Linked DNA regions of Oryctolagus cuniculus. The protein of the gene in region 1 purifies or fractionates together with the protein of each later gene. This does not show direct contact. Links are inferred from orthologs where the notes say so. Each region holds a gene or a part of one and is shown on either strand. Other genes may lie near its edges.

What was found.
Region 2: the proteins of VAPB (region 1) and TTC1 purify together in Homo sapiens (affinity purification with mass spectrometry; 4 studies listed by BioGRID and IntAct, counting the BioPlex papers as one, with this or other methods). This does not show direct contact. The link is inferred for Oryctolagus cuniculus from reciprocal best matches to the Homo sapiens genes VAPB and TTC1.
Region 3: the proteins of VAPB (region 1) and RMDN3 purify together in Homo sapiens (affinity purification with mass spectrometry; 4 studies listed by BioGRID and IntAct, counting the BioPlex papers as one, with this or other methods). This does not show direct contact. The link is inferred for Oryctolagus cuniculus from reciprocal best matches to the Homo sapiens genes VAPB and RMDN3.
Region 4: the proteins of VAPB (region 1) and ACBD5 purify together in Homo sapiens (affinity purification with mass spectrometry; 4 studies listed by BioGRID and IntAct, counting the BioPlex papers as one, with this or other methods). This does not show direct contact. The link is inferred for Oryctolagus cuniculus from reciprocal best matches to the Homo sapiens genes VAPB and ACBD5.
Region 5: the proteins of VAPB (region 1) and OSBPL9 purify together in Homo sapiens (affinity purification with mass spectrometry; 7 studies listed by BioGRID and IntAct, counting the BioPlex papers as one, with this or other methods). This does not show direct contact. The link is inferred for Oryctolagus cuniculus from reciprocal best matches to the Homo sapiens genes VAPB and OSBPL9.
Region 6: the proteins of VAPB (region 1) and VPS13C purify together in Homo sapiens (co-immunoprecipitation; 3 studies listed by BioGRID and IntAct, counting the BioPlex papers as one, with this or other methods). This does not show direct contact. The link is inferred for Oryctolagus cuniculus from reciprocal best matches to the Homo sapiens genes VAPB and VPS13C.
Region 7: the proteins of VAPB (region 1) and MIGA2 purify together in Homo sapiens (affinity purification with mass spectrometry; 3 studies listed by BioGRID and IntAct, counting the BioPlex papers as one, with this or other methods). This does not show direct contact. The link is inferred for Oryctolagus cuniculus from reciprocal best matches to the Homo sapiens genes VAPB and MIGA2.

Annotation. Positions count from the first base shown.
Region 1 is NC_091442.1:3,747,830-3,751,242, forward strand, and holds the end of VAPB (vesicle-associated membrane protein-associated protein B/C), read right to left. Parts: intron 1,131-3,413; coding exon 972-1,130; 3' UTR 880-971; downstream 1-879. UniProt on the Homo sapiens protein: Endoplasmic reticulum (ER)-anchored protein that mediates the formation of contact sites between the ER and endosomes via interaction with FFAT motif-containing proteins such as STARD3 or WDR44.
Region 2 is NC_091437.1:47,008,829-47,012,125, reverse strand, and holds the end of TTC1 (tetratricopeptide repeat protein 1), read right to left. Parts: exon of another isoform or gene 2,356-3,297; coding exon of another isoform or gene 2,303-2,355; intron 1,506-2,302; coding exon 1,372-1,505; 3' UTR 868-1,371; downstream 1-867.
Region 3 is NC_091443.1:63,896,685-63,901,389, forward strand, and holds the start of RMDN3 (regulator of microtubule dynamics protein 3), read right to left. Parts: upstream 3,150-4,705; 5' UTR 3,051-3,149; intron 2,701-3,050; 5' UTR 2,694-2,700; coding exon 2,507-2,693; intron 1,712-2,506; exon of another isoform or gene 1,580-1,711; intron 513-1,579; coding exon 320-512; intron 1-319.
Region 4 is NC_091444.1:103,234,425-103,238,541, forward strand, and holds part of ACBD5 (acyl-CoA-binding domain-containing protein 5), read right to left. Parts: intron 1,464-4,117; coding exon 1,343-1,463; intron 1-1,342. UniProt on the Homo sapiens protein: Acyl-CoA binding protein which acts as the peroxisome receptor for pexophagy but is dispensable for aggrephagy and nonselective autophagy. Binds medium- and long-chain acyl-CoA esters.
Region 5 is NC_091438.1:121,320,131-121,324,976, forward strand, and holds the start of OSBPL9 (oxysterol-binding protein-related protein 9), read right to left. Parts: upstream 2,958-4,846; 5' UTR 2,913-2,957; coding exon 2,802-2,912; intron 1-2,801. UniProt on the Homo sapiens protein: Interacts with OSBPL11 to function as lipid transfer proteins.
Region 6 is NC_091443.1:84,939,308-84,943,424, forward strand, and holds part of VPS13C (intermembrane lipid transfer protein VPS13C), read right to left. Parts: intron 3,159-4,117; coding exon 3,066-3,158; intron 1,037-3,065; coding exon 671-1,036; intron 303-670; coding exon 216-302; intron 1-215. UniProt on the Homo sapiens protein: Mediates the transfer of lipids between membranes at organelle contact sites. Necessary for proper mitochondrial function and maintenance of mitochondrial transmembrane potential.
Region 7 is NC_091432.1:232,203,118-232,205,920, forward strand, and holds part of MIGA2 (mitoguardin 2), read left to right. Parts: intron 1-336; coding exon 337-435; intron 436-572; coding exon 573-707; intron 708-1,094; coding exon 1,095-1,148; intron 1,149-1,654; coding exon 1,655-1,771; intron 1,772-1,958; coding exon 1,959-2,162; 3' UTR 2,163-2,803. UniProt on the Homo sapiens protein: Regulator of mitochondrial fusion: acts by forming homo- and heterodimers at the mitochondrial outer membrane and facilitating the formation of PLD6/MitoPLD dimers. May act by regulating phospholipid metabolism via PLD6/MitoPLD.

The DNA.
Region 1 (3,413 bases):
CCACAGCCCTGCAGAGGCCATGCCAGCTTTGCGCCTGGGCCTGGGGGAGCACGGATGATTTCCAGGCCACGGCATTAACTGCACTCTCGTGACAAAAAGAAAACATGAGATGAAATACATTAAATAAGTTAAATATGCATTAAACATCTCTGAACAACAGTTCGATTTCACTACATGAACCAACAGTAATTCAGCGTGGTCCCTTTAAGAGAACGAAGCGTTGACTTGTTTGAGTGCTGGTTCAGCCAGCATGGGCCTCCGGGTTGAGACGCTGCTGTCCGGGCGCCCGCCTCTTTCCACCAGTCCCAGGGAACAGACTGAGGACGCGGAAGAGCATCCGAGGGAGGGAGTGGGCAGCGGGGGCTCCCAGGCACAGGGGCTGCTGCCACAGCGCCGGCACCCAAGGCAGGGAGGGGCACCCAGGGCAGGCAGGGGCACCCCGGGCAGGGAGGGGCACCCCACCTCGGCACCCCGGGGAGGGAGGAGCACGCCAGGCAGGGAGGGGCACCCCGCCTCGGCACCGGCGGGCAGGGAGGGGCACCCCGGGCAGGGAGGGGCACCCCAGGCAGGGAGGGGCACCCCGGGTAGGCAGGGGCACCCGGGCAGGGAGGGGCACCCGGGCAGGCAGGGGCACCCGGGCAGGGAGGGGCACCCGGGCAGGGAGGGGCACCCGCCTCGCAGCACCGCCCGAGGCCCAGCGCGCTGAAACCTCACCACTGCGGCAGCCCTCACAGCTCCCTCGTCAATGCAGACCACTCATCCCCCGACCACTGACGACGCAGTGCTCCCTTCTAAGGATTGCTAGAGTATGTTATATTTGTGTGTGTACTTGGGCGTGTGTGTACGTGGGGGGTAGGGGTAATTTAAAGGCAAGACCTGTGAGATGTCATCGTAGGTTAATTTCTTTTTACACAAGGTTATGATCGATTCAAATCCCATGGCGTGGTAGACCCACCCTCCGCGTGCTGCCTCTACAAGGCGATCTTCCCTACGATCACCCCCACGATGAAGAACAGGACCACCAGGGCCAGCAGCCGGGCACTCAGACCCTCGTCCTTCCCGGCGGCGGCCAGGGCCGCGATGGGGCTGTTGCTCTGTGCCGTCTTCCTCAGGCGAAGCCCGTCTTCTTCCTGCAGAGACAGACAGGGCCCGGGAAGGGCGGTCAGTCAGACAGACAGACAGGGCCCGGGAAGGGCGGTCAGCCAGACAGACAGACAGGGCCCGGGAAGGGCGGTCAGCCAGTGCGTGCGGTCTCCCGGATCTCACCCCCAGGAAGGGCCCTCTTCCCTCATCTGTCCTGTGATGCCAGCCCCCTGCCCTCACGGGGCGCTCCCTGGCTCTCTATGCCTGATGTCAGCCCCCTGCCCTCACGGGGCGCTCCCTGGCTCTCTATGCCTGATGCCAGCCCCCTGCCCTCACGGGGCGCTCCCTGGCTCCCCGTGGTTTACAGGGAGGTCTCGGGCCAGCGGGGCCATGTGTACCCTGTCCACGTCTCCCAACTCCTCCTCTCCCCTAGCCCAGCGCTGATTCCTCTGTCCTCCACGCTGAGAACAGGCTACCCTGGTCATCGATTCCTGAAACAGAGGAGCACCAGGAACAAGGAAGCGGGGACCTGGGAGCCCTGAGACGCTCCGGGAGGAGCCGGCCCACCAGAACACAGCGCGCTTGCAGTATTCAGCCGTGACTGGACGTCCAGCACTTTCCATGTAAGGCTCGGACTTCTCATGAACAAAAGCAACATTCTTTCTCACAAATACAAAGATGCGTGACCCCCTCTCCCCCCCCAACGACCAGGCTGCGTCGGGGCGGAACCTCTGCTCCTCCCTCACCTCTGGGCCCAAGACAGCAGGGCACGCGGGGCCTGCGGCCGGGCCTTCCATCCTGCCCATCTCCTGTCACCACCCCATCTGCACCCCACAGCCCCCTTCCCCTCTCCTTCAACCCACGCGCCTCGCAGGTGCAGAGGCCACGGGCAGAGGAGCCCACAACGCTGACTTTCCCTGCAACTCGCTGCTCTGCCTGTGGACCGTCTCGCACCCGGACAGGCCGCTGTCTGTCTCAGTGTCTCCTTGCTACTCCATCCACAGAGCTCAAGGGCAGGGCCTGCTCACAGCAGAGACTCAGGGACATGTTGGCCACACCCAAGGAGCCAGCGCAAAAGAATCAGGGTCTGGCAAGACAAAGAATCTTCCAACGGCAAGACTGTTCTGATGATATCTTAGACACCTGCTCACGGGGCACGGCCCATCTCAGTTCAGTGACAGCACTTGCTGTCCCTCACTTGCAGGCATGCAGAACCGTTTCTGGAGGGAGACGTACTTAGGGAGAAGCTTCAGGCCTAGCTCAGCTATTCAGCCAAGAAGCCAAGTGCCGGCTCCCTAACCTACTCCTCGCAGAGAGAAGCTGCGAAGAGGCACTGAGACGGAGCCGCTTCCCTCCGCCTGCCCCGCTGTCGGAACGACCAACTGGAGTGCGTCTTTCCTGTGCGCCTGGCGCCACGGCAGCTAAGACTGAAACCTGTCCCATGCTCGCGTGGCACGGTCAAGACAAGAGCACGGGCAGGCCTAAGAAGTGGAGCCAAAGCACCCACCGTCAGGTGTTCGGGATATTCTCTCCAGTACCGTGTGGGGAGCACACGCAGACCTCTGTAGCTGGAGGGGCGTTTGAAGCATTTCAAATGGAAGCCTGACAGACGCTGTGCCGGGCACAGGCCGAGGTCACTGGCACCACAGGCCTCCGTGCCACAACACAACCGGCCGGCGCCACGGCCACGAGCTGGAGTCGGGGCCCTCCCTCCACAGCCCCACCTCCTGCAAACGGTGAGAACACCCGGCGCCACCAGTCTGAGGGACCGCTGCTGCTCACACTGCTGGTCTCCGAGTCAGGACCACGTCTGTGTTAAAATGGACCACAGGTGCGGGAGTTGGCCCCGCAGCCGTGCACCAGGTAAGACACAGCCCACACCAGAGTACCTGGGTTCAATCCCCAGTTCCAGCTCCCTGGGAGGCAGCAGGTGCTGGCCCAGGTGACTGGAGTTCCTGCCATGCCCGTGGGAGACCTGGGTTGAGTTCCAGCTCCCAGCTCTGCCCCAGCTGTCTCGGGCACGCGGGGAATGAGCCAGCAGCCTGCAGCTCGCTCCCCTCGCCGTCTTCAGCTTGGAAAGCAGCAGAGGACAGTCAGAGTGGTCTCCACCCCAGCGACTGAGGGGCAGCGGGGCCCGGGAAGCATTCGAAATGACCAATGGCGTCTTACTTTTAGCCTCCAATTTTACTTTCAGTTTTTCCTAAAGCAGCTTTTAAACAGTCGAGAACCTTCTGCTGAGGGGACAGTGGTTCTTCACGCGAGGGGGAGTTCCAGATCCTTCTGAGATCCTGAGGAAGCCAGGAAACCTGCCCCCCGCCCCCCGAGTTAAA
Region 2 (3,297 bases), on another chromosome or scaffold:
CCTCCACTGCACTCCCTGGCCACAGCAGAGGGCTGGCCTGGAAGAGGGGCAACCGGGACAGAATCCGGCGCCCCGACCGGGACTAGAACCCGGTGTGCCGGCGCCGCTAGGCGGAGGATTAGCCTAGTGAGCCGCGGCGCCGGCGTGACTTTTCAGATATATTTTTGGGAAAAGTCATGTGCTAGATTTAATAGAAAGATAGCAAAGCAAAAATTACTGCTCCCCACTCCTGCCTCACCTTGTAAATTCTATGTAGAATTATGTTGCAGCTTTGGCAAATTCCACAAGTTAACATTGCCTCACGACCCTCCCTAACCCCGTCAGTGTGCTGGGGAACAGATCAGAAGAAGCAGTGCAGTTGCTGACACTGGGAGTGCGACTGCTGCATGCCACACACAGAATTCTATGTGTGACTCACTCCCAAGATGAACCTTGCATGTCACTGCCTTTGACAGATCAGAAAACTGAAAGCTTTCAACAGTGTCAATGATGACTATGGGGAAAAAAAGCGGCTTTGAAACCCCTGGGTTCATGGAGTCTAAGAATACGGCCTTGCCTGGCACTCACATACCACCAGTTGCGAACAAAGCTCTTTTAAAGCTGGAATTAAGATTAACGCATGGTCAGAAACACTGATATCATTATTATCTGTACTAACCTGGAGGGGCCCAAGACAGCTTGTCAGGTGGAATTTATGAACTCCAGTACACAGAATGGTGATTTCTTCAAGATGGCAAGTAAAACTTTGGGCACGTTTGTGAAATTCAGTCAGTAACCTTACTGCTTGAGACCAATACTGTTCTCAAAGCCAGAGACGTCTTCAGCTGTCATTATAAAAGGGGACAAAACTCAAGACCCAGCCCAGACTATCACAGAAAGCTTTTATTACTGCAGAGGAAATTGGGAAATGCTGGAGACCATCCACACACAGCAACCTTGATAGCGTGTGTGATCAGGGAGGGGACGCAGAGGGAGCCCTGTCAGCCATGTCTGGGCAGTCTCCCACCCGACACGTGTGCTTGTTAGGAAAGATGTGCGCATGTGCGCGCATTTGTGTCTGTGTACGTGTGTGTGGTGTTCAGAGACATCAGTCTTGACAAGCAGAATTTCCTAGACAAAGGACAGCCAGAACTGGGGATAACAGCTGCACAGAAAACCTTAAAATCGAAATCAAATTAGGCTCATTTTATCAGGAAGTGCGTATTACTCTGATCATGAAACAAGAGCAAGGAGAGAGCGCTATGCTCTACTGTACAGCCTTTCCTTTAGATAAGCGGCTTTGAAAAGTTAAATATTGGCAGGCCTTGCTTCTTGTTAACAGCAAGCAGCACACAATTTCCAAGGCAGCTTTTAACACTATTGTTATCTTTGTTATCTGTTGTTATTTGGATTTTGGACAAAATTGATAGAGTAGGAGCCAGTGGAAGAATCCTGTTTGATCTGGAAATTTTCTGTGGAGAGCCCAAAAGGTCGGAGAACCAAGTTCCCGAGATCTTTTAGTTTACCTGCAATGTAAAAGCAAAAACTCAAATGAATACAGATTGAACAGATGCCAGAAGACACCAACTGATCCTGCCTCACTGATTAAAATATAAAAATTATCTCTGCAGTTAAAGAAACGCTGGCTTTTAATGACAGGAAACCTGCCAGGAGAGTGCGCAGTCCCTATTCCCCACTCAGTGGGGCTGTCACTGCTGATGTCAGTGTCATCCAGCCCTGAGCCTGTGTCCATCAGCTGATCTCCTGCTATGGTGAGAGCTCCCAGCCACGCCTCACCTGCCCAGCACTGATGGCAGAGGTTCCCCCAACAAGCCTATTCTCTATAAAACAGCAGTTGCCACCTGCTAAATTTAATTCAACTCAGCCAATTTCTTCTGAGCCTAGATTCAAACTCAATAGTTCTGGCTTTTCCAAGCAAATCCTGGACATACCAAATTTATCATTTCCTGGGAAATGGGATCCTGTTTACTTGTATAGGGCTGTCAACCTCCATTGTACAGTCCAGTCTCCTGACCCCAAGTTTCAGGTTTTGCTAAGTAATTGCTCCTAAGTGATCTCACGTCCTAAAGTTGAGACCCATGGGATAGCACCTGGGATTTTTATGCTGTCTTCACATACAAGATGGCCATGGTGTTTGTATATCAACATTTGGGACTTCTAGGACATTTCACACATTTACTAAATTCAAATGGCAATGGGATGGAATATTTGAGATTCAGAGTATTCTGGAAAGTCTCAGCTGAGATGGGTGAATAAATAGTTTCAATCATTTCTCAACTGTCATTTTTTTTTTTCCTTTCAGGTCAGCTTCCAATGGAGATGAGAATGGGGGTAGACAGAAAGAGAAATCCTTAATGATCAGAGAGGCACAGGCTCCTTCCCACTGCCACACCTTTTAGCAGCTTTTCTCACTGGAGGCCTATTACTAAACTAGAGGCCAGGTGAAGAAGATGATGCACGACCTTTAAACTTTAAAGGGGCCTCTCTCCTGAAGCGTGATGAGAACTTGTGATCTTGGTCTTAAGATCTGGCCCACAGAGACACACTGAGTTCAGAGAGGCTTGCTCACTCCTAGAGAAAACATCAATAGACAAAGCTCCTAGAATCTGGGATGACCATGCTCCAGGCAGGTTTCCCAAACAAACCTGGGCCACCCACGCTCACTGCTGCTGCTCAGGAGAGGCACTGGCACACAGCAGCAGCACAGGCTCAGATCAGACTCAGTGGACAGATGCCTGGTAGGGGTCTCAACAAGCAAGGACATCACAGGGCATCTTCAAGAAAACGGAGCTGGCAACATTGACCTAGAACTTTGGCAGTCTTTGGTTTTGGAGAAGAGAACAGGTAGGAAAAACTGATTTACAGACGTACAATAACTGGCTCTTGTGACACGGAGAGGGGAGCCTGAGTCAGGGCAGCTCCATCTTGGAGAAGCCTGTTCAGGGTCTCTCCAGACGGTCAACTGAGCCACAGGCACCCCCTGGAGAAAGGATCACTGTAAGCCCATCTCCAGAGAAACACCTTGAAGTAAAAACTGTATATTTACTTGCCATCTGTTGTGGGAGGCACAGATAATTGAAGAATAAAAGCAGCCGCCAGCTTTTGAAGATGTCTACGGGCAGTGGGGAGACAGACACGAACGCCCAAGGTGAGCCCAGAGGCCTCTCGGACTCGGTGCAGGCATAATACAGCCTTCCCGGGCCAGGCCGTGCATTGCACTGACCTGAAGGACAGCATGGCAGGTCCCAGATGACAGTGCCTTGCGCCTCCAGACTGTGCTAAGCGTGGGTGGCAGCA
Region 3 (4,705 bases), on another chromosome or scaffold:
GGCCAAGAACAGAAAATCCTGGGCCTCCACACTACGACAGTGAGAGCGGCAGCTCCTGGGCCAGCCGCGTGGGTGGACTGGATTAGGCAGTACAAAGGTTGCAGCCATCACAACAGACCCTGAAGGCCCAGAAGCAGCGTATGCAATGTAAGGCACCCAACGCACAGCTTCCCCACAACTTAGCTTGGCGGTTACCCAACTGGCTTCTTCCTTAGAGACAGACAGCAAAGGCCGGAACACACCTCGGCTTAAAAAGTCCAAAGGGCAAGAGGACGCTGGGAGGTAGGAGACAAAGCAGACGAGAAGGCCGCGTACTCACCGGACCTCCCCAACGATCTCCCCCGCCAGTCCCTGCAGGCTGCTCCTCAGCTCCTCCACCTCCCGCCGCAGCGCCACCAGACTGTTCAGCACGAAGTCCAGGCGGTCCAGCACCTTCTCCTGCCCTCCCTGCGCCGGGCCGGGCAGCGCCGCAGCATCGCCAGCCTCCCCTGGGATGGCCCGCAGCAGCATCGCTGCAGGAACGGGAACAGGAGGCCGTGACGCCCCAGCCTTCCAGAAGGCTCCCGTCACATGGCAGTGCAATGTAGAGAAGACCCCGAGCCTCAGCAGTGAGCAGACATTCACGGCGACGTCAGGGTAACAAGTCCCACCCAACTACCCAGAAAAAGATGAAGGCCCCAATTTTTTTTATTTTTTTTTTTTTATTTTTTTGATAGGCAGAGTGGACAGTGAGAGAGAGAGAGACAGAGAGAAAGGTCTTCCTTTGCCGTTGGTTCACCCTCCAATGGCCGCTGCGGCCGGCGCATTGCGCTGATCCGACGGCAGGAGCCAGGTACTTATCCTGGTCTCCCATGGGGTGCAGGGCCCAAGCACTTGGGCCATCCTCCACTGCACTCCCGGGCCACAGCAGAGAGCTGGCCTGAAAGAGGGGCAACCGGGACAGAATCCGGCGCCCCAACCGGGACTAGAACCCGGTGTGTCGGCGCCGCAAGGCGGAGGATTAGCCTAGTGAGCTGCGGCGCCGGCCAGAAGGCCCCAATTTCTAAACAAGAGCCCTCCGCTCCTAGAGCCTTGCACGCCGGGGTCCTTGAGCAAGGCTGTGCAAGATGGCAGATAAGGTGAAACGCTTCAGGAGTCCAGCACCTAGAGGAAGGGCAGCCGCTCTGCTCGAGTTTCTTCACACGACCTTACCTTACTGATGGCCAAACACCAGGCCATCAATCCCGCACCAAACTGCAAAAGTCACACAGCGCACCCACATTCTCATCTCTCACTTCAACAGAACAAGGAAAACTGAGCTCCTGACAGCCTCATTTAATGATATGAGAGAGGAGCAAAGAGAAAGCTGCCCTGGAGAAAGTCCATCCAAGCCGCTCCAGACGCCACGACCAAGCCCCACTGCCCCGACGCTGGATCCAGGGGTCAGTAAATTCCAGCAGTGAAATGCTAGCAGCTGCCTATGGCGACTGGAAAACGTAAAACCAGAAAAAACCAGAGGAGCAAGACACACAAGTTCAAGGGTGTCCAGGCAAGCATAAAGGAAATCCAGTAACAATTGAGGCCAGCCTACAATACACACCCAGCAATGTTCAACAATGCAGAGCAAGAGAGATCGCTGGCAAGGGGGCTACTCTCTCCTGATCTGAGTAGAGGAAAAACTGCTGAAGTGCAAACAAATCCCACGGAAGGGACAGGCAAGACCAGCACCCTTGCAATACTGGGTTACCGCCAGCTTACAGAACGCTGGCAGCGGCTGCAATCGGATGCTGACTCTAAAGCCGCTTCCAAACCAGGTGAGATGGATTAGAGGAAACACTCATTCCCAATTAACACAGGGCGAGATGATTTAGCGCTCCCCCATCACACCAAGGTGAAAGGGTGGGGGGAGGGGAGGGCAGCGGCCTTGAACCGGTCGTAGATGCTTGGCTCACACCAGTGAGTGCGAAGTTTTGCAAAACTAAGAGCACTACTCATTTCAGCCGTGGCTGACTTCCAGCACCTTCCACTTCAATTGCATGAAGCGTGCGTGCCCAGCTCCAGGCTGTGGCAAGTCCACTGCACCAGGTGAGAGGGCCCAACCTTGCCACTTCACTTACTCTGTGATGACCTCAGAAAAGTTACACAATCTTTATCAATCTCAGTTTCCTCCTAAGAAAGTTAAAAAACGTATTTGCCTCCGAGTTTCCTCGGAGAATATCAATATCCAGACTTTTAATTCCAACAAGGTTAGCTATTCCTTTTGTCTTCTTTGGGGCTCTTCCTCTGCTCCACACCTCACCCAACACAGACAGGTGCCTTTAATGCCCAGAAGCACCCCTGCAGCCAGAACCACAAGCGAAAGCGAAGCCGCCTTTTCACTTTAGCCACTGCATAGAGGAAAGAGCACCGCGGAGCGAGAGGACAGATTTCCTTTTCAATGAGTTTTCCAAGAAAGTGCAAGCCTCGGGCAGCCCCTCCCTCCCCCTGCCTCCAGGCCCGTCAGTCTGCAGCGGCCTGGGTCTCCTACCCTGGCGTCCAGGCTCTGGAGTCCGCCCGTAGTCCAGGGCGTTGGGCAGGCTCTGGCTCCGGCCATGGCGCTGAGTCCGTTTCCACCGCCGGCTGTAAAGGACGCACAGGAATCCAAAGCCGGCGGCGGCGCCCAGCAGCAGTCCCAGCCCGGCCCGGGCGCCGCCCAGAGCCCCCAGTCTAGACATGTTGCACCTGCAGCCCGCGAAAGCCACCGGGAGCAGGCAGGCAGGGGAGGAGGAGGGAGATTCGTGAGCCTGGGCCACCCACTCCAGGAGACTCCCCTCGCCCAGACCCTGAACTCCCGACTACCCTCACCCTTATCCGGATCCTAATGCTCCGCCAGTCCCTGGGTCTGACTACTGCGCCCCTCACCCAGCCCAAACGGAGCCCCCCATCCAACACACCCCTTGACCCAGACCACAGAGTCCTCCTCCTGCGTAGTCAGCCTCAGGACGCTGCAAGCAACAACCCGCCTCCCTGGCTGCAAACGCCTGGCTTCCCCGGCGTCCCCTAGCCCGGCAGGAGATCAACTCGACCCTTACCCGGCCGCCAACCACCATGGCAGCAGCCGCCGCTGCCTCACGCTGTCAATGACCGCGACGTCAATGAGACGGCGCCACGAGCTCCACTCACCGTAGGAAGGCGCAGGGAGATGACCTCACGAGGCTCCGCCTCCAGCCCGGACTTTTCCCCGGGGGGCGGGGTCTCGGGCCGGCCAGAGGGGTGTGGTCTGCGGGGAGCGGGAAAGAGAAACCGCGGAGGAGGGAAGGGCTGGGGGAGAAGGAAGGCGGAGGGAGCTAGAGGACGACTTGGCCGGTGCTGGAGCAGGAAGCCCGCGGTCTGGCCGAGCCGACGTCCGCTTTCCTCAGCCCCACCAGCCACCTGTGCCCCGCACAGTCCCGCTCCTGCCTACCGCGACCCCTTCGCTCGCCTCCCTCAGCATCGCCGTTCGGACTTCGGTCCATTTCGGCTTAATTTAATAGCGTGTGGGTTTTTACCGAGGACGGACGGCCGCGCCTGTGGCTGGTTTTCGCGGCGGCCCGAGTCCGGAGGGCCGGCTCCCGCCAGCTGGCACTTGAGCCTCCGCTCAGCAGCGCACGGCCAGCGCCGAGCCGTCAGTCTGGGGCCTAGCGTCGCTGCGTTGTACCTTACCCAGGAACGGAATTGGAAATGTCCGTTTCCAGAATGGATAGGATCTGTGAAATTTATTTCCCTAATGATAGCGATTTGGGGTGAGGCTGAAACTTGACATCCGGTTGCTTAAACCGGTTTGAATGTCATTGGGGATGTTTGTGTTTTATTTATAATGTGTTTTAATCAGTTTTTTTGTGTGTCCACCAGTGGCCCATAGTTTTTTGGTTTTGGTTTTGTTTTCTAATTCGAAAGGCAGAGTGAGAGAGAGAGAGAGAGAGATCTTCCGCTGGCTGGTTCACTTCCCAAATGCCCACAACAGCCAGGGCTGGGCCAGGCTAAAGCCAGGAGCCAGGAACTCCATCTAGTCTCCCACATGGATGGCAAGGTCCTGAATCCTTGGACTATGACCTGCTGCAGTCCCAGGTGCATTAGCAGGGAGCTGGATCCGAAGGGGGGCAGAGGCTCCAGCCAGACACGGGGTCAGCAAATGTCTGCATAACCACGGTGCATGTCGACCCCTGCCCCTCACAGATCACTGTATGGTCCATATCACTCTTGTGACTTTGTGCAACTGCCTTTTTCTTTAAGATTTATTTATTTGAAAGGCAGAGTTACAGAGAGGCAGAGAGAGAGAGAGGTCTTCCAACTGCTGATTCACTCCCCAAATGGCCCCAAAGGCCAGAGCCAGGAGCTTCTTCCGGGTCTCCCACGCTGATGCAGGGACTTGAACCGGTGTCCATAAGGGACACCGGCATTGCAAGTGGCAGCTTTACCCCCCACACGGACATCCCACATGGGCACCTGTCCATGTTCCAGCTGCTCTACTTCCTATCCAGCTCCCTGCTAATGACCAGGGAAAAGCAGCAGAGGATGGCTGAAGTCCTTGGGCCCCGGCAAACCACAAGGAAGATCTGGAAGAAGCTCCTGGCTCCTGGTTTCATTGCAGCCATTTGGAGAGTGAACCAGCAGATGGAAGATCTCTGTCTGTCTCTCCCTCTGTTCTGTAACTCTGACTTTCAAATAAATAGATCTTTAAAAAAAAAAAAAAGCAGGTAAAGAAACT
Region 4 (4,117 bases), on another chromosome or scaffold:
AGACCACAAAGACTGTACACTATTCATGAATATTTTCTAAGAACTCTTAATATCATTGTAAGTAATAACCGAAATGAACATTTTAGAAGACTATGAACTATCACAACCATGTTCTATCAGTTGTGGGAAACCTTTTTTATATCAAGGGCCATTTGGATATTTATAATATCATTCACAGGCCATACAAAATTATCATGCCAAAAATTAACCTGTTACAGATTTATTGAATTTCAGATCCCACTTCTAGTTGTGTTGGTAGTCCAGACCAAATGATTTCATGGGCCTTAGACAATCCTCATCCCCAAATGATCACAAGTTTCACTTAGAAGTTTCTACTAATTGATTAATCACTAATTAATCCTAACTTACATATTTGGACTAAAAATGAAAATGGTTTCTCACTTCTAAAATAAAAATGTCAGGGACAGGAAAACTTTAAACCCCCAGGTAATAAGAACAGTCCTTGGAAATTTTTGCCTAACACAAAAACTGCTAAACTTTTTATGTTTTGTCCAGTAGGAGTATAACTCTACCAAAGATCAGTTCTGGGGAAAAAAAATGAAGCAGACAAATTTTCTCAAAATGGACATATCAAATAGCATATTACTATTTCATTAAACTATTACTTTGCTACTATTCATAAAGATCCTACTGGAAATGTATAGTACTAAAAGATCATCAAATGAATTGATAGTCCTTCCCATTCTCAAAGAAAAATTTAGCATGTAGGGGCTCTTAAAACATAATTCCTCAATTAGCATACTGTGCTGACAAAGTGTAGTCTAAAACTTCTATAAAGTCTTCAGTAATATGAAGGACCCAATAGTTCTAGCAGTTTAAAGAGATTTTCTGAAGTGCGCTCATATTTAAGGGTAACAAATATTAGTCAATTGGGAAAATGGCAGAGGTACCTCAATAGTTTATGATTCTTTCAAGCATATTAAAAATCAAATTTGTGTTCTAAAGTCAAGTAGGTTAAGAGTGACAGCTGAGATAAAAAGTTAATGTGGCAGCACCCGAGTCATAATCCTAGTTATTTATTATCTTAAAGTCTCAAAGCAAACAGTGTCACTTGAAAAGCAAGTCATTCTTTTTCTTGGCAGCTAAAAGAGGCAGAGAAGTTTGTTTCTTTAATTTAGTTTGGGAATTGGTCTTACTATTTTCCTGTCTTCCCCAGCATTTTCTTGTTTGTGTAAAATTCTATGACAAGAGCATGGAGAATAAAAATTACATCTGGGACAGTCTGTGTCCAGAATTAATATATAACCATGTAAATAAGAATTATAAGATCATCAGTTCATCAAAATGAAATTGTTTTTTATATCTCTATAAGTAAAATTACCATTTGTATCTTCCAATAGGATCCCAGAACCCAGGCCTTGAAAGTTTACAGGGTCCTTCAGTTGCCTGTTTGTAGAAGCTATAGAACTTGAGCATCATTTCATTTGTTGGCTGGAATGAACCTATTGGAAACATACATTAAATATACAGATCACTTGGGGTTACAAATTAGCATAGCTATACAGTAATAATAATGATTTTATATTTCATTAATAGTTCGGATAATAATTTATTTCTACCTTATAAAAATAAAATTTGTCAGTTTTATTAGTTACGTTGCTAATTTGATTTTTTTTAAGTTATTTATTTATTTCAGAGGTAGAGTTACAGACAGTGAGAGGGAGAGACAGAGAGAGAAGTCTTCCTTCCACTGGTTCACTCCCTAGATGGCTGCAATGGCCGGAGCTGTGCTGATCCGAAGCCAGGAGCCAGGATCTTCTTCTGGGTCTCCCACGTGGGTGCAGGGTCCAAGGACTTAGGCCATCTTCTACTGCTTTCCAGGCCATAGCGGAGAGCTGGATTGGAAGAGGGGCAGCTAGGACTAGAACCGGCGCCCATATGGGATGCCGGCCCTGCAGGTGGAGGATTAACCTACTACGTCATGGCGCCGGCCCTGCTAATTTTATTTTTTAAAAACCCTGAGATTTTTTTGTTACAGCACTGCCTAACACAAATGCTCAATAACAAAAGATTACCTAAATACATATCCTATTAAGTATAACCAAAATAACCACCAAATATCACTTATATCACAAATGTATTAACATATAAGAATAACTTTATTATACATGGTAAAGCTATAAAAAATTAAAGCTGAGTAGCATAAATGAGAATAACAGTAAGTATAAAAATACTTACTTTGCCAAAATACATGTTGTATATTCTGTTTTTAAACTACTTTTTCTACCAAATTTTGTATTATGAAACTTCCCATGCCATCATTTCTCTTTCTATAATTTTATTAGATTGTAATGATTTATAATTAAATGTATACTTTGGTTAATAAAATCACAACAGTAAAAATTCAATACCTCTTAGCCAAATTTCAATTTCTCAATACACAGAACTTTGGCTAAAGGCAATCATATGATGGTACAAAAAGAATCAATCTAATGTGAAATAGATTTCTTATTGCCTACTTCTGAAGACATCAGTTTCTTTAAAGATAAGCCTTCAGGGACAGTGCTGTGGCATAGAGGGTTAAGCTGCTGCCAAAAGTGTTGGCATCTCATATGGGCGCCGGTTCAAATTCCAACTGCTCTACTTCCAACCCAGCACCCTTTTAATGTACCTAGGAAAGCAGTGGAAGACGGCCTAAGTGTTCGGGGCCCTGCACCCACATGGGAGACCCAGATGAAGCTCCTGGCTCCTGGTTTCCATTTGGCCTAGCCTTGGCTGTTGTGGCCATTTGGGGAGTGAACCAGTGGATGAAAGACCTCTCTCTCTCTTGCCTCTGCTTCTCCCTCTCTATAACTCTGCCTTTCAAATAAGTAAATGAATCTTAAAAAGAAAGAAATAAGAGGGGTCAGCTCTGGGTCATAGTGGGTAAAGCCAACATCTGCAGCGCCTGCATCCCATATAGGTACCAGTTCAAATCCCAGTTGTTCCACTTCCAATCCAGCTCTCTGCAATGGCCTGGGAAAGCAGCAGAAGATGATGCAAGTGCTTGAGCCCCTGCACCTGCTGGGAGACCCAGAAGATGATCCTGGCTCCTGGCTTCAGATCAGCCCAGCCCTGACTGTTGTGGCCATTTGGGGAGTGAAACAGCAGATGGAAGATATCTCTCTCTTTCTCTTCCCCTTCTCTCTTTGTAACTTTTCCTTTCAAATAAGTAAGTAAATCTTTAAAAGAAAAAATGATGTCTTCATGTGAGTTTCTAGCATATCTATAACCCTTTTTATGTCCCAAATTTTCAAATTACATGAACAAGTATTATGAATTACAATACTTGAAATTGCAGTGAAAAACTGATGTTTTATAATAAATAGCTTGCTAAATAGACATATATATATATATAAAATATCTTATAATTAAAGCCCTAAAAAACATAGCACAGAAAAATGTAAATGGCAAGGAGTTTCATAATTCACAATATGAGAAAAACAGCACTATAAAACAGCAAATACAGTATCACCCATTTTTGCAAAATAAGTGTTCATATTCACAAAAATAAAGTAGGAAAAAGTACATCAAAAAGTTAAAAAAGGAGTGCTCTCGATATCAGGTATACAGATAATTTTATTTCCCTTTTTCTTGTATTTATAAAGTTTAACATCAATGTGTACTACTTCTAAAACAAAAATCATTATAAAAATAAATAAGTCTACAGAAGACATTTTTAAACTTGGTAGATTGAATAATAAACAGATAACGAGTAATCAAAAGCTAGTTGCTCATAAAAGCTGTAGAAATTAAGATACAGACAAGCAGAGAGCAGTGTTTCAGGTTTGGCCAAGGGTACAGTTCAATTCCAAAATCATGATAATTATCTATCTATCTATACAAATTTAGGAGTATCTATTAGATAAAGTGTATTAGTGATACGGTTCTTCTTTATATAGCAGAGGGAAAATTGGAGAAATCAAAGGTAAAGATGGTTACCTACTTATCACAAACCTAAATTTAAAATGTTAAAAGCAGAGCCGGTGCTGTGGCATAGTAGGCTAAGCCTCTGCCTGCAGTGCTGTCAGCATCCCGTATGAGCACCAGTTCCATGTCCCTGCTGCTCCTGGACTGATCCAGCTCTCTGCTATGGACAGGGGAAGCAGCAGAAGAT
Region 5 (4,846 bases), on another chromosome or scaffold:
AACATCAATTCTCAGTATAGGCCAACTCTAAAGCAAGGCCAATCTGGATTTTCATGGCTACCCTCAAAAAGACCTATAATCACAGAGCCAGCCTTTAGCCCACATCATTTTAGACACAAAGAATAAAATGACTTGCTATTTACTGCCCTGCTTAAGCGACTGTACAACTAATTCTTCATATATGTAGTTCCAAGCTATCAGCCACATTCAAATCATCAATATATATTCTCCAATCCTTCAGAATCCTGATGTACTAAAGATGTTCAAGTATACAGAGTTCATTACCAGCATTCAATGTGTCTTCTATTTTCCCTTGAAGTGGATACCCAGCCTCCCCACCCCCACCCCCATTTACTAAACTTCCTATAATTTGGGATTGGGTATCACTTTATTTTCACAAAACAGTATAGAATTTCTCTGTTGTTTCTCTGCAAGAAAACAGTTTAACACGAAAGTATCGGCGGAGGGGTGGGGGTGGGGGACTTCTAAACAGCCATTAGTGATCTCCAAATCATAATGCTGAAGATCAGAAAGGAGTTTAAGTATTAAAGAAGAAAAAAAAGAAGGGTATTAAAAATCTGTATGTAGCCAGTAAGGCAGGAGATATTTGTCCAAGTATTCAAAAACTAAAAGCGTAAGGAGGCAGAAAAAGGATACACTAAAGTAAGAACAGGAAAAAGGAAAATTCTGTCTGGGCCAGAAGCTCCCAAGAACCCCAGATTAGGGCCTCTAGTGACCCTCGATTGAGACCCACACAAATTTTGCATTTGCAGAGTCACTTAATTCCATGGTGCCACTCACTGAGATTACTCTACCTTGAATAGATTCCATAGGATTTTCTGATTATCACATCATCTGAAACCCATTATTACTCTTCATTTCTCTGAATCATGGGATTTCATAATGCCAGGCTTTTTGGAACATAATGTTCAGTTGTCTCTTTCATGCCTACCTAAAGATAATCTTGAACAATGTGTTTAAGATTCATTAATGTTAGGCCAGCGCCGCGGCTCACTAGGCTACTCCTCCGCCTTGCGGCGCCGGCACCCCAAGTTCTAGTCCCGGTCAGAGTGCCAGATTCTGTCCCGGTTGCCCCTCTTCCAGGCCAGCTCTCTGCTGTGGCCAGGGAGTGCAGTCAAGGATGGCCCAAGTGCTTGGGCCCTGCACCCCATGGGAGACCAGGAGAAGCACCTGGCTCCTGCCATCGGATCAGCGCAGTGCGCCAGCCGCAGCGTGCCGGCCGCGGGGGCCATTGGAGGGTGAACCAACGGCAAAGGAAGACCTTTCTCTCTGTCTCTCTCTCTCACTGTCCACTCTGCCTGTCCAAAAAAAAAAAAAAAGATTCACTAATGTTTGGACTTTTTCCCTTTAAAAATTATGTAGAGAAAGGAAGTGGATGGTTGAAGGACAGCAAAATTAATACTGTTCCTTTTGCAAGCTTTGCCTTTTGTAATTCAGAGCTTGCACTTTCCTCCTCTGCCTAGTGGAAGTGAAGTTTAGTGGAAAAAGAAAGCCAAGAATTCAGCGTCCTGATTCCACTATTTACTCCTGCTATGTGATTTTGAGCAAATTATTTAAAAGCCTGCAGCCTCAGACTCCGAAACTGTGAAATGGGAATATTAAATAGGGATAATGAACACCGACCTTGCAGAGTTACTGAGAGTAAAAGGAAGAGATCACTAGAATGGAATAAAAACTCAAGAACAGAGAACAGTGAGTATCTTCATTCCTGTTGATTCCTGCTGGCATGGAAACGCACATGGCAGGAGCTCAATATTTTTTAAATGAGCGAATAAGTATGTGTTCTCATTTCATCAACATTAACCCTTCTTCCATAATCACGTTTTTCCTTTGCCTTCTATTATCTCCTAAAGCTCTCAAGACATTCTATTTTGTTCTTTTAAGTGGCTTTCTCCCTCTCATTGACTATTATTAACTACACACCATTCAAAGAAGTACCTTTGGAAGTCATTTCTCTCTAATTCCACCCACATTCCATTTCTAATGCAGCGGGGGCAGAGGGGATAGTCAGACAAGATTCGCAGTCATTCAGCCACTTGCCCATGGCCACTGACCCGTGTTAACGACATGAAGCCTGAAGCCAGACCACCCCAGAATGTAACTTTCAGGGGCCACCGCACCGCCCCTTTTCTCTCCCTGGGCTAACAAGAGACTCGGGTGTAGGACATGCTCGGCTCTCAAAAGTTAGGCAGTCGGTTACGCTTGCCTCCCCCGGTACAGGGGTGTGTCCCTTGCAGGAGACACTCAACCTGGACAGAGAGGAAGGATTTCGGATCCCTTGGTGTGGGTCGGGCATGACCTTTAGACCTGGCCAGTCTCGTCTGGCCACTGCTCTGAGGAAACAGGAGCTCTTCACTCCCGGGAGGGAAGCTAAGGGGTGCGGCCGTTCACAGAGCCTGAGGGGACAGTGTAAAGTCCATGACAACGCGAGGACACAGAACAGCCCGCACGACCGGAACCTTTCAGCCACGACCACGACCGCCCCTTCTATTCACAACTGCGCCGGACCCCACCACAGCCTAACACCTGACCCCCCAAAATAACGCGGCTCACCCCCCCACCCCATAAATCAGACAGCCAGTGCCTGCTGACTGGTTGTGCCCGCATCTCCTTCACCCTCATTGGCTGTCTGGGACGCAAAGCCCTCCCCGACGAGGGACCCTCCCGTTCGGCGGCACCCCCAGCCCAGCCACCTCAGCCCGGCTATCCGAGACCCCGGCCCCCGCCTCCATCCAGGGAGCGCGCGCCGGAGGCGCTCGGAGCTTCACCCGAGGACTCACCGTGTAGTAGGAAAGCAGTCCAGCGTTGTAGTCCAGTACGAACCAACGGTACTGCCAGCCCTTCATCACGTTAGTCCATTTGCTCAGCGGCCCTTCCACGATGGACGCCATCTTGGGAGCCGCCAATGACAACAAACGGCCTGACGTCACTCGCCTATATGGCTTTCAGCATGCGGGGGGCGGGGCCTCCACGGGCTGGGGCGGGACAGGGGCGGAGTCTGCAGCGGCCTCTCCGTGTGGATTCCTCGAGCCACGCCCCCTGCGATCGCCTTCGAACCCCTGCCTTTTGGTGCCTATTGTGTGTAGGACAATATGCCAGGGATACGAAAATGCAGACACATAAATAATTTTATAAGCAATGCTGAAAAGACTTCACATCTGATATTCATTTGTGCATTAATCCCACGAATTCAGTCGTTTAACAAATATTGTATGCTAAGCACTCTTCTAGGCTTTGGGGTAGAGCGGAGCCTTCTTGATGGGTAACAGGCAAGGCATAGTAAGTTATATACTAAAAAATGGCATGTGCTATGGAGAAAAATTAAGCAATGAAAGAGAGAGAGAGTTAAGGCTGCTATTTTAAATGCCTAAACTGGGAAAACCTGAATAAATTAACTTTCGTGTTGTTGCTGTTGGTTGGTTGGTTTTTTTTTTAATTTATCTTCATGCATTTCATAAATACAGCTTTAGGAGCATAGTAATTCTTCCCACCGTACCCGCCCTCCCACCCACACTCCCACTCCTCTTCTTCCCTCTCCTGTTCCCAGTCTTGTTTTTTACTAAGATCTATTTTCATTTAACTTTTTAATACACAGAATATTAACTCTATTCTAGGTAAAGAGTTCAACACTTTGTATGAAGAAGAAAAAGAAAGAGAGAAAGAAAAAAAAAGTTTCTCCAAGAGAAAGTAATTTTTGAAGAAAGACCAGGAAAAAGTGAAAGAGGGAGACTGGAAAAAAGCCTTCCCAGGGGAAGGAATAGCAAGGGTGAGGAGTGAGTGAGTCGGCAGTAAGGAAGAGCAGCAAGGAGGTCATGCGAGTGGCACAGTGAGCTGGGGAGAATGTAGGCGAAAAGTCACTTACCGCCTGCAAGGGCAGTTTCAGTATTTATTAGCCACCTACAGTAGCCAGGCGTTCATAGTGCAAGACCCTGGGAATACAGCAGTGAACAAGCCAGATAGGTACATTGCAATCTAAGAGCTTACATTCTATGATGAAAGCAAAAAACATTAAACAAGTAAGCAAGAAAAGTATGCAATACCAATAAACCCTTTGCAGAGGATTTACTAAGGTGACTGACCCAACAGAATAGAAAGCCAGGGCGAATGGTCAGTGCAGGCTTCTCAGAAAGTGGCATTTAAGCTGAAACTGAGATGTGGAGGATGAGAAAGTGTCAATCATGCAAATATCAAGGGGAAAGAGCTAAAAAGCAAGCTGGTGAATGGAGGCATTAGCTAAAAGTGGAAGCGAGGTCGAGGAGGTCTTTTTTTTTTTTTTTTTTTTTTTTTTTTTTTTTTTTTGATTGAAGGAAGTAGTGAATGTTATTTTGCTGATTTCCAGGAGAGGGAAAAACTGGTGACATCCTGGAAACAGGAGAGACTAGCAACAGTGAAGCCCTCCATTGGGCTGAGACTCCCTAAGCCCAGGTAAAAGAGCTGACCTTTGATAAAAGCAGAGATACTTCACCCATAGTAACAAGAAAGGGAGCTGAGAGTATGAGTTCAGATACCAGTTGGTGGGTAGTTAAGTGGAGGAGAAATGAATGAGTTTTGCCTGATTCTAGTTAAGTGGAGGCTCAAAGCTTAGTAGTTAAGAATGTGGACTCTGGGGCTGGTGCTGTGGCATAGTGGGTAAAGCCACTGCCTACAGTGCCAGAATTCCATATGAATGCCTGGGCTCTGGTTGAGTCCCGGCTGCTCCACTTCGGATCCAGCTCTCTACTATGTCCTGGGAAAGCAGTGGAAGATGGCTCAAGTACTTGGGCCCCTACACCCATGTGGGAGACATGGAAGAAGACCCTGGCTCCTGGTTTTGGATTGCCCCAGC
Region 6 (4,117 bases), on another chromosome or scaffold:
ATCTCTGAAAAACTCTACTGAATGCTCCTAAGAGAATACAAATTAAAATGATATAAATGACTGAATATTATTACAAAAGTAGAATTTGACCTCATGAATTTCAGGAAAGGCCTTCCAGGATCCTGGAACACATCTTGCAATGATTGAACTAAAAGTATCAATAGATATGTATAATGTCACTCTATACAAAGATATTTAACCATTTCCTTACTTACTTCAAGACTTAAATTCCACTGTCTCTTCCCCTCCACTCTTTCAATCAGTGGTTCCCAGACAGCATGGGTCTCATTGTAATAATGAACCTGGAAAGGCACAGAAGTGTAATACATGACTTTCTCAACTTTACTTACATATTTCTGTAACCAGCTGGAAAAATATTTAGTAATTGATATTATATCTCAATAGCCATTTTGAAATTCACTTAAAGACATAAAATTATAGAGCATCTTTTCATTTACTCTATTACTTGTTGCAACAAAAAATTATTTAGCAAAAACTCTTTAAAAATAAGTATGAAAAAATACTAAGCACCAACAAACCAAATGTTAGAATATATTCTCCATCCACTTACATACTTGATGTGGCTAGGTATAAACAACAAAGGCCTGTATCTTCATTCCGCAGCTGTACTTTCAAGAAGCTGGCTCTGGACTAAGAGCTATGACCATACCTGTAGTGTCATGTCAGCAGCAGCAGCCATCAGGGAAGTCCAATTTTTAATTTTTCCTGAAAACTTAGACTCAGCCAGTAATAAGGGTACAGTTCGATGTCCAAGGCCGCATTCCAAGGTAACCTGAACTGTCTCCACGGCAAGAGTACAATTCTCTTCTATGAGAGGATTTTCAATGTCTTTGAAATTTTCAGTTATTTCTGTTGCCATGTCAACACCAAGAAACCAAGAATTATAATCATTAATAGACTTGATACTCCAAAGGTTTTCCATTTCCTTAGTTGTATCTTTGGATTCAACTTCTTTTGGTTTTGGAGACATGGCAGCCATGATTGTCATTACAGTATTAAGAATTATGGGTGAAATCTTTAAAAAAAGAAAGCAAAAAATGTTCAGAATAGATTCTTTCTCAGCTGAGAATTAACAAATACAGGACACAAAAGTTAAAAACTTAAAATGTAAATGTGTTGAATCTGTAACTCAGGAACAAAAGAGAGAACACAAAATCATGTGTTGTGTCAACTAACTGTACCACACAGATTTCCACTCACTCAGTTATCTGGAACTAATTTGTGTTACATATTGAAACTTACACTGATCACTTCAGAGTAAAATAATGTTATATGAATGGACAAATATGAGAAGTGTAATCAACTTTTCCATTCTTCAAGCAGCTGTATTAAGTAAGCAAAGTGCATGATCTTTTGCTGAGTTATACACAGATAGCTCCCTTTTATCTTACTGAAAATCTGTGAGTTGCGCCTTATTTGGGAGCAGTATCTTTGTTCACCTTCCTCACCATGCTTTCATTATACAAATGATGGTACTTTGTGTGTCCACTCATCACCCTCCCAACTGCTACCAGCCATTTCATTCTTAGGCTTAAAATCTTCAACAACTTCCTCTAACTTTCAGGACAAAATACAAACTCTCCATATGGCTTGGTACACAAAGCTCCTTGTGACCTAGTGTCTAATCAGCTAGCCAGAGATCCCCACAGTTCAAGAAACACTGAGTCATGTAAGATAAATGCAGTCCTTCACATTTCACTTCTCTCCACCTCTACTTACCCAGTATGCTAAAGAGACGTAATTACATTACCAAAAGGAAGACCTAGTTAGCAACACTTTCCTAATTTCCTGTCAACTAAATGAGGTTTCTTCTTGACTTATTATACTCACTAATATTTGATGACCTCAGTCCTAAAAACTACCACACCATCTGTCTGGACATATGGAACTACTACTCTAAGTGCTTAAAGAATTATTTTCATAATTCATACTGTCAGTTCTGTCTGGAGAAACCTCCCCCCTCCCTTTCCATCTTTCTAAGTTTCATTGCCTTTCCCAACTTAGTTCAGGTAGTCTCACCCCCAGTTTTTCCTGATGTCTTGGTCTGAATTAGAGGACCTGTGCTCATGCTCGCAATAGCACCTGGAGCATGCCTCAACTGAAAGCTATAATCACTGAGTTACTTACTTCCTTCTCACACACATGTTTGCTGAATAAAAAAGTTTTGTACAAAAAAGTGGAAGGTCCTCTTAGTACCTAATCTAGTACTTCAGGGATTTAAATATATGCAAAATTCAAGGAATTTCCCCCCATTTGCTACTTTATATCCTAAAAGTATAAATTCGTTAATAAAACAGAATCTAAGACTACATCATGTTTTTAAATATTGGACAAAAATTACAGTGTTGCATACATGGTACATAAAATGAAATTAATGTGAATTTCAATTCTACCACTGTTGGTCAAAGACCTATGAATAAAGCTACCATCATTACTGGCATTAACAATCTCATTTCTGTGTCCTCTGGACAGAAACAGATTTCAGAAAGCATTCTGTATCTTCTATTTTTACCTGGGTATAGGGTTGTACTTAAAAAATACAAATGTTGCTAAAGAACAGAAACTGTTTTTTCAATACTTTAAATATAAGGGATTTTTAAAAAAAATTCTAATTTATTTCTACCATACATTTGTTATTTCAAATATTTTATGAACCAAACAAAATATCAGTTATGAAATTCAAAATATACTTAAATAAAAGCCTAAAAGTAACAATAACAGCAACCTCCTCTAATTCTTTCTCCTCCCACCCCAGCTCTGCTCTCCTCTCGAACTCAACCTCTCCAACACACACGTGCAAATATAACAGAACACTACCTTGTTCATTCATAAATATTAAAAGTGCTCTTACAGAGAAAACAGAAACAAACATTTGCATTTAAAATATATTTTAATGTTACAACTATTTACTCATTACTGAACGTGACTATCACTGATACTCAAATTATGAAAAGACAGCAAAAGATATTATCTCAAGGAACAGCAAATATATAATATTGTTACAAAAACAAGAATTTTTACCCAAAAATATGACAAGCACTAACCTTAATTATAAATTCTTTGACCATAATATTTATATTTTGTTTTCCTGAAGCCCATGTACATTTTTCCATAAATAAAGAGCAGGGATGCAATACCTAGTAACAAATAAGTGAAATTCATATGTCTTTAGTGATCAATTCATTATACAATTAATACATACTTAGAAGAGCCACAGCGTATTTAACTTAGCGCTTTAACTATAGTCTACTATCAAAAGCAGAAACGCAAGGCAAACTAGCTAAGAAGCTCTTGGTCAAACTCTGAACTACAACAAATTGTGAACACTATACAGCACTTGAAGCACTTCTGATGGATTTCTTTACACCAAATCCTTAAGGGAAGGTGTACTTCAATAGCAGAAGTTTAAAATGTCTCCTCTTGCTGAATCATATTTCACAAGATGCCTCCTGTAAGTAGCTGTAAAAATCAGCTCAAGAATGAGGTAAGAAAAGTAAATGAAAAGTCTCTGGATAATTAACAGGCCAATCTTCAATATCATGTTATGTCCTTATTAGAATAAATTTCAAATATTCAAACTTGATGAGATATTAAAAATATAGTCTATGCTCTCACATATCATTAAACAAATAAAAGAACCATGCCTCTGAACTGACCAGAGTAATAAGAATTATTACATAATTTTCATTTTTAAAATAATGAGGATAAGTTTTAAATGCAGTATAAACTTTCTGTGATATGTTAAAAGATAATCCTGGGCCGGCGCCGTGGCTCAATAGGCTAATCCTCCACCTTGTGGCACCGGCACACCAGGTTCTAGTCCCGGTCGGGGCGCCGGATTCTGTCCCGGTTGCCCCTCTTTCAGGCCAGCTCTCTGCTATGGCCCGGAAGTACAGTGGAGGATGGCCCAAGTGCTTGGGCCCTGCACCCCATGGGAGACCAGGAGAAGCACCTGGCTCCTGCCTTCGGATCAGCGCAGTGCACTGGCCACAGCGCTCCAGCCGCGGCGGCCATTGGAGGGTAAACCAACGGCAAAGGAAGACCTTTCTCTCTGCCTCTTTCTCTCTCATTGTCCACTCTGGCTGTCAAAAAAAAA
Region 7 (2,803 bases), on another chromosome or scaffold:
ACCCATCTCCCCATGGAACACAAGGTCCCAGGGATTTGACTGCCTGACTCGGGCTCCTGTTCTCATGCATGCCCGCACAGCGAGAGCACGCCATGGGGCCGGGCACACCCTGCCGGCTGCCCTGGTGTCCGGCGTGTACCCGATATGCCCTGGTTCCCAGAGAGGCGCCCTGCGGTGGGCGGGAGGCTGCCTTGCCTCGATTCCTCCGTGGCTGCCGCCAGGGCTGGGCCCCGGGCCTGCCAGGGCGTGCTCCCCACCCAGCCGCTCCCCGTGAGCTCGCCCTGCTGGGTCTCCGGCCAAGCCCGTGAGCAGGACGGGCCGTGCTTGTCCCCGCAGAGTCCCAAAGGCTTCCTGGAGAGCTACGAGGAGCTGCTGACCTACGCCCTGCGGCCCGAGACCTGGGCCACCACCCGGCTGGAGCTGGAGGGCCGCGGGGTGAGTGGGCGCTCCGGGGTCCCTGGGCCCTGGTGGGGGAGGGGGCGGCCGTGCTGCTCTCCGCCTTGGCTCTCCTCTGCTCCTGGCGTCCTGCCCGGCCCGGCCCGGCCCCGCGGCTCAGGCCCCGCCCCTCCCAGGTGGTGTGCATGAGCTTCTTCGACATCGTGCTGGACTTCATCCTCATGGACGCCTTCGAGGACCTGGAGAGCCCGCCCGCCTCGGTGCTGGCCGTCCTGAGGAACCGCTGGCTGTCAGACAGCTTCAAGGAGACGGTGGGCCGCTGCTCCCGCGCCAGCCCCTGCCCCTGGGGTCGGGGGCCGCCTGTTGCTCCCTCCCTGCTCCCGGGAAATCCAACCAGAGCAGGACGAGACAAAACAAGCAAGAGAGGAGACTAGGATGAGAGCGTGGCGCAGACGCCGGCGGGGCCAGCAGTGACCCCGGCAGCCGGCCAGGAACCTGGGCAGGGGGACCCCTGGGGCAGACGGTGGCTCAGTCCTGGGACCCGCAGTCCCGGGGCCGTACTCAGGTTCAGGTTTTCCACGTGTCTGATTCGAATCCAGGGGAGAACGGCAGGCACCAGGCCCATGTTCCTGCTGGGGGGCGGGGGCCGAGGGCCCAGCCTGTCCTGACAGCAGGCTGGCCCTCCTGTCTTTGATTAGGCCCTGGCCACTGCCTGCTGGTCGGTCTTGAAGGCCAAGAGGAGACTACTGATGGTAAGTGACTTGACAGGCCCCGGGGACGCCGTGTGTCCAGGGTCCCCTCCTGGCGCCCAGCTCAGCTGCCCCCTGTGGGTGGATGCTGGCCCCTGCTCTGAGGGTGCGGGGCTCACCCAGGGGCCTCACAGAGCCCCCAGGCCCCACTGCACCTTGGCCCTCGTCAGTCCCGGCACCGCTGCCCCCTGCCTTGGCCAGGAACTCCCCAGAGGAACCTGTGGGACCACATCCGCCGTCAGGATGTGTCCAGGCCCCGCCGAGGGGCACGGGCATCCTTGGGGGGGGGGGCCGGTCCCTGCAGCCACGGCTCCATCCACACCCCCCGGGCAGCCGCCGGCTCCGCGGCCCTGTGCTCCGGCACTTCCTGTGCCACGCCCACCACAGCCCCGCCTCGCAGCACCCCGCTCACCCCACCTGCAGAAGGGAATCTGGGGCATCAGGGTGCCTCGCGCGGGCGGGACACGGCCAGCTCGAAAGCCCGGCCCTGGCCCCGCCGCCCTCCACAGGTGCCGGACGGCTTCATCTCCCATTTCTACTCCGTATCGGAGCACGTTAGCCCTGTGCTGGCCTTCGGCTTTCTTGGCCCCAAGCCCCAGCTCGCCGAAGTCTGTGCTTTCTTCAAGGTAATGGGGGTGGCTCCTGCTCTCTCTGCCCCAGCACAGGGGCCCGGGGGGCGCCAGGGACGGCGCCAGGGACAGCGCCAGGGCTGGACCTGCTCCTGGGCTGGGAGAGCACGGGGGGGGGGGGGGGGGGAGGAGTCTGGGCGGGGGCGGGGCCTCGGCCCCCACTGACGCCTGCCTGGGCCCCCAGCACCAGATCGTGCAGTACCTGCGGGACATGTTCGACCTGGACAACGTGCGCTACACGTCGGTGCCGGCGCTGGCCGAGGACATCCTGCAGCTGTCCCGGCGCCGCAGCGAGATCCTGCTGGGATATCTGGGGGCGCCGGGGGCCGGCAGCGGCCTGAACGGGGCGCTGCCCCAGGAGAACGGGCCCCTGGGCCAGCTGCAGTAGTGAGCACAGGCCGGGTGGGGGCGGCAGTGAGGGGGCTGTCCGGCCCCTCCTTGGGGTCGGTATCCGGAGGCCCGGACCCTGCCTGGGAGTCCCGGGGGGCGGTCAGCAGGGCCTGGCAGGGGTGGGACCCTGAAACACCCACACCGCAGAGCTGCTGGTGAGGGGCTGGGAGGGACCAGGAGGACGGTGGGAGGCGGTAGGCGGGCTCTGCGGTGATGGTCACGGCGTCCTGAGCAGGGAGCAGCCCGGGGCCGCCTGGTCACAGGGCCCAGGCTCCCACACTGGGGAGCAGCAGAGGAGCCAGGGCAGGGCGGGCCCTCGGCAAACGCAGGCACTAAGCTGGGATGCTGCCCTGTGGCGTTCCGCGTCCTGCCGAAGGCTGACACTGACCCTGCCACCGCCAAAGACGAGGGCATGTGGGGCGGGGGGCTCCCGCCCGCCACCCACCGCCCCTGTGGCTGGGAACTCGCTGCGGGTCAGCCCTGGGGTGCTCCCCAGCAGGGGCAGTCAGGGGATGAGCAGGGCTGGACCAGAGCGAGCCTTCAATCACGCACACACAAACCCCGGGCCCCCGCACATGGCTGGTGGTGGTGCCTGAGCTGGGGACTTTTATTTATTGCCTTAAGACTTTTACTTTGCGC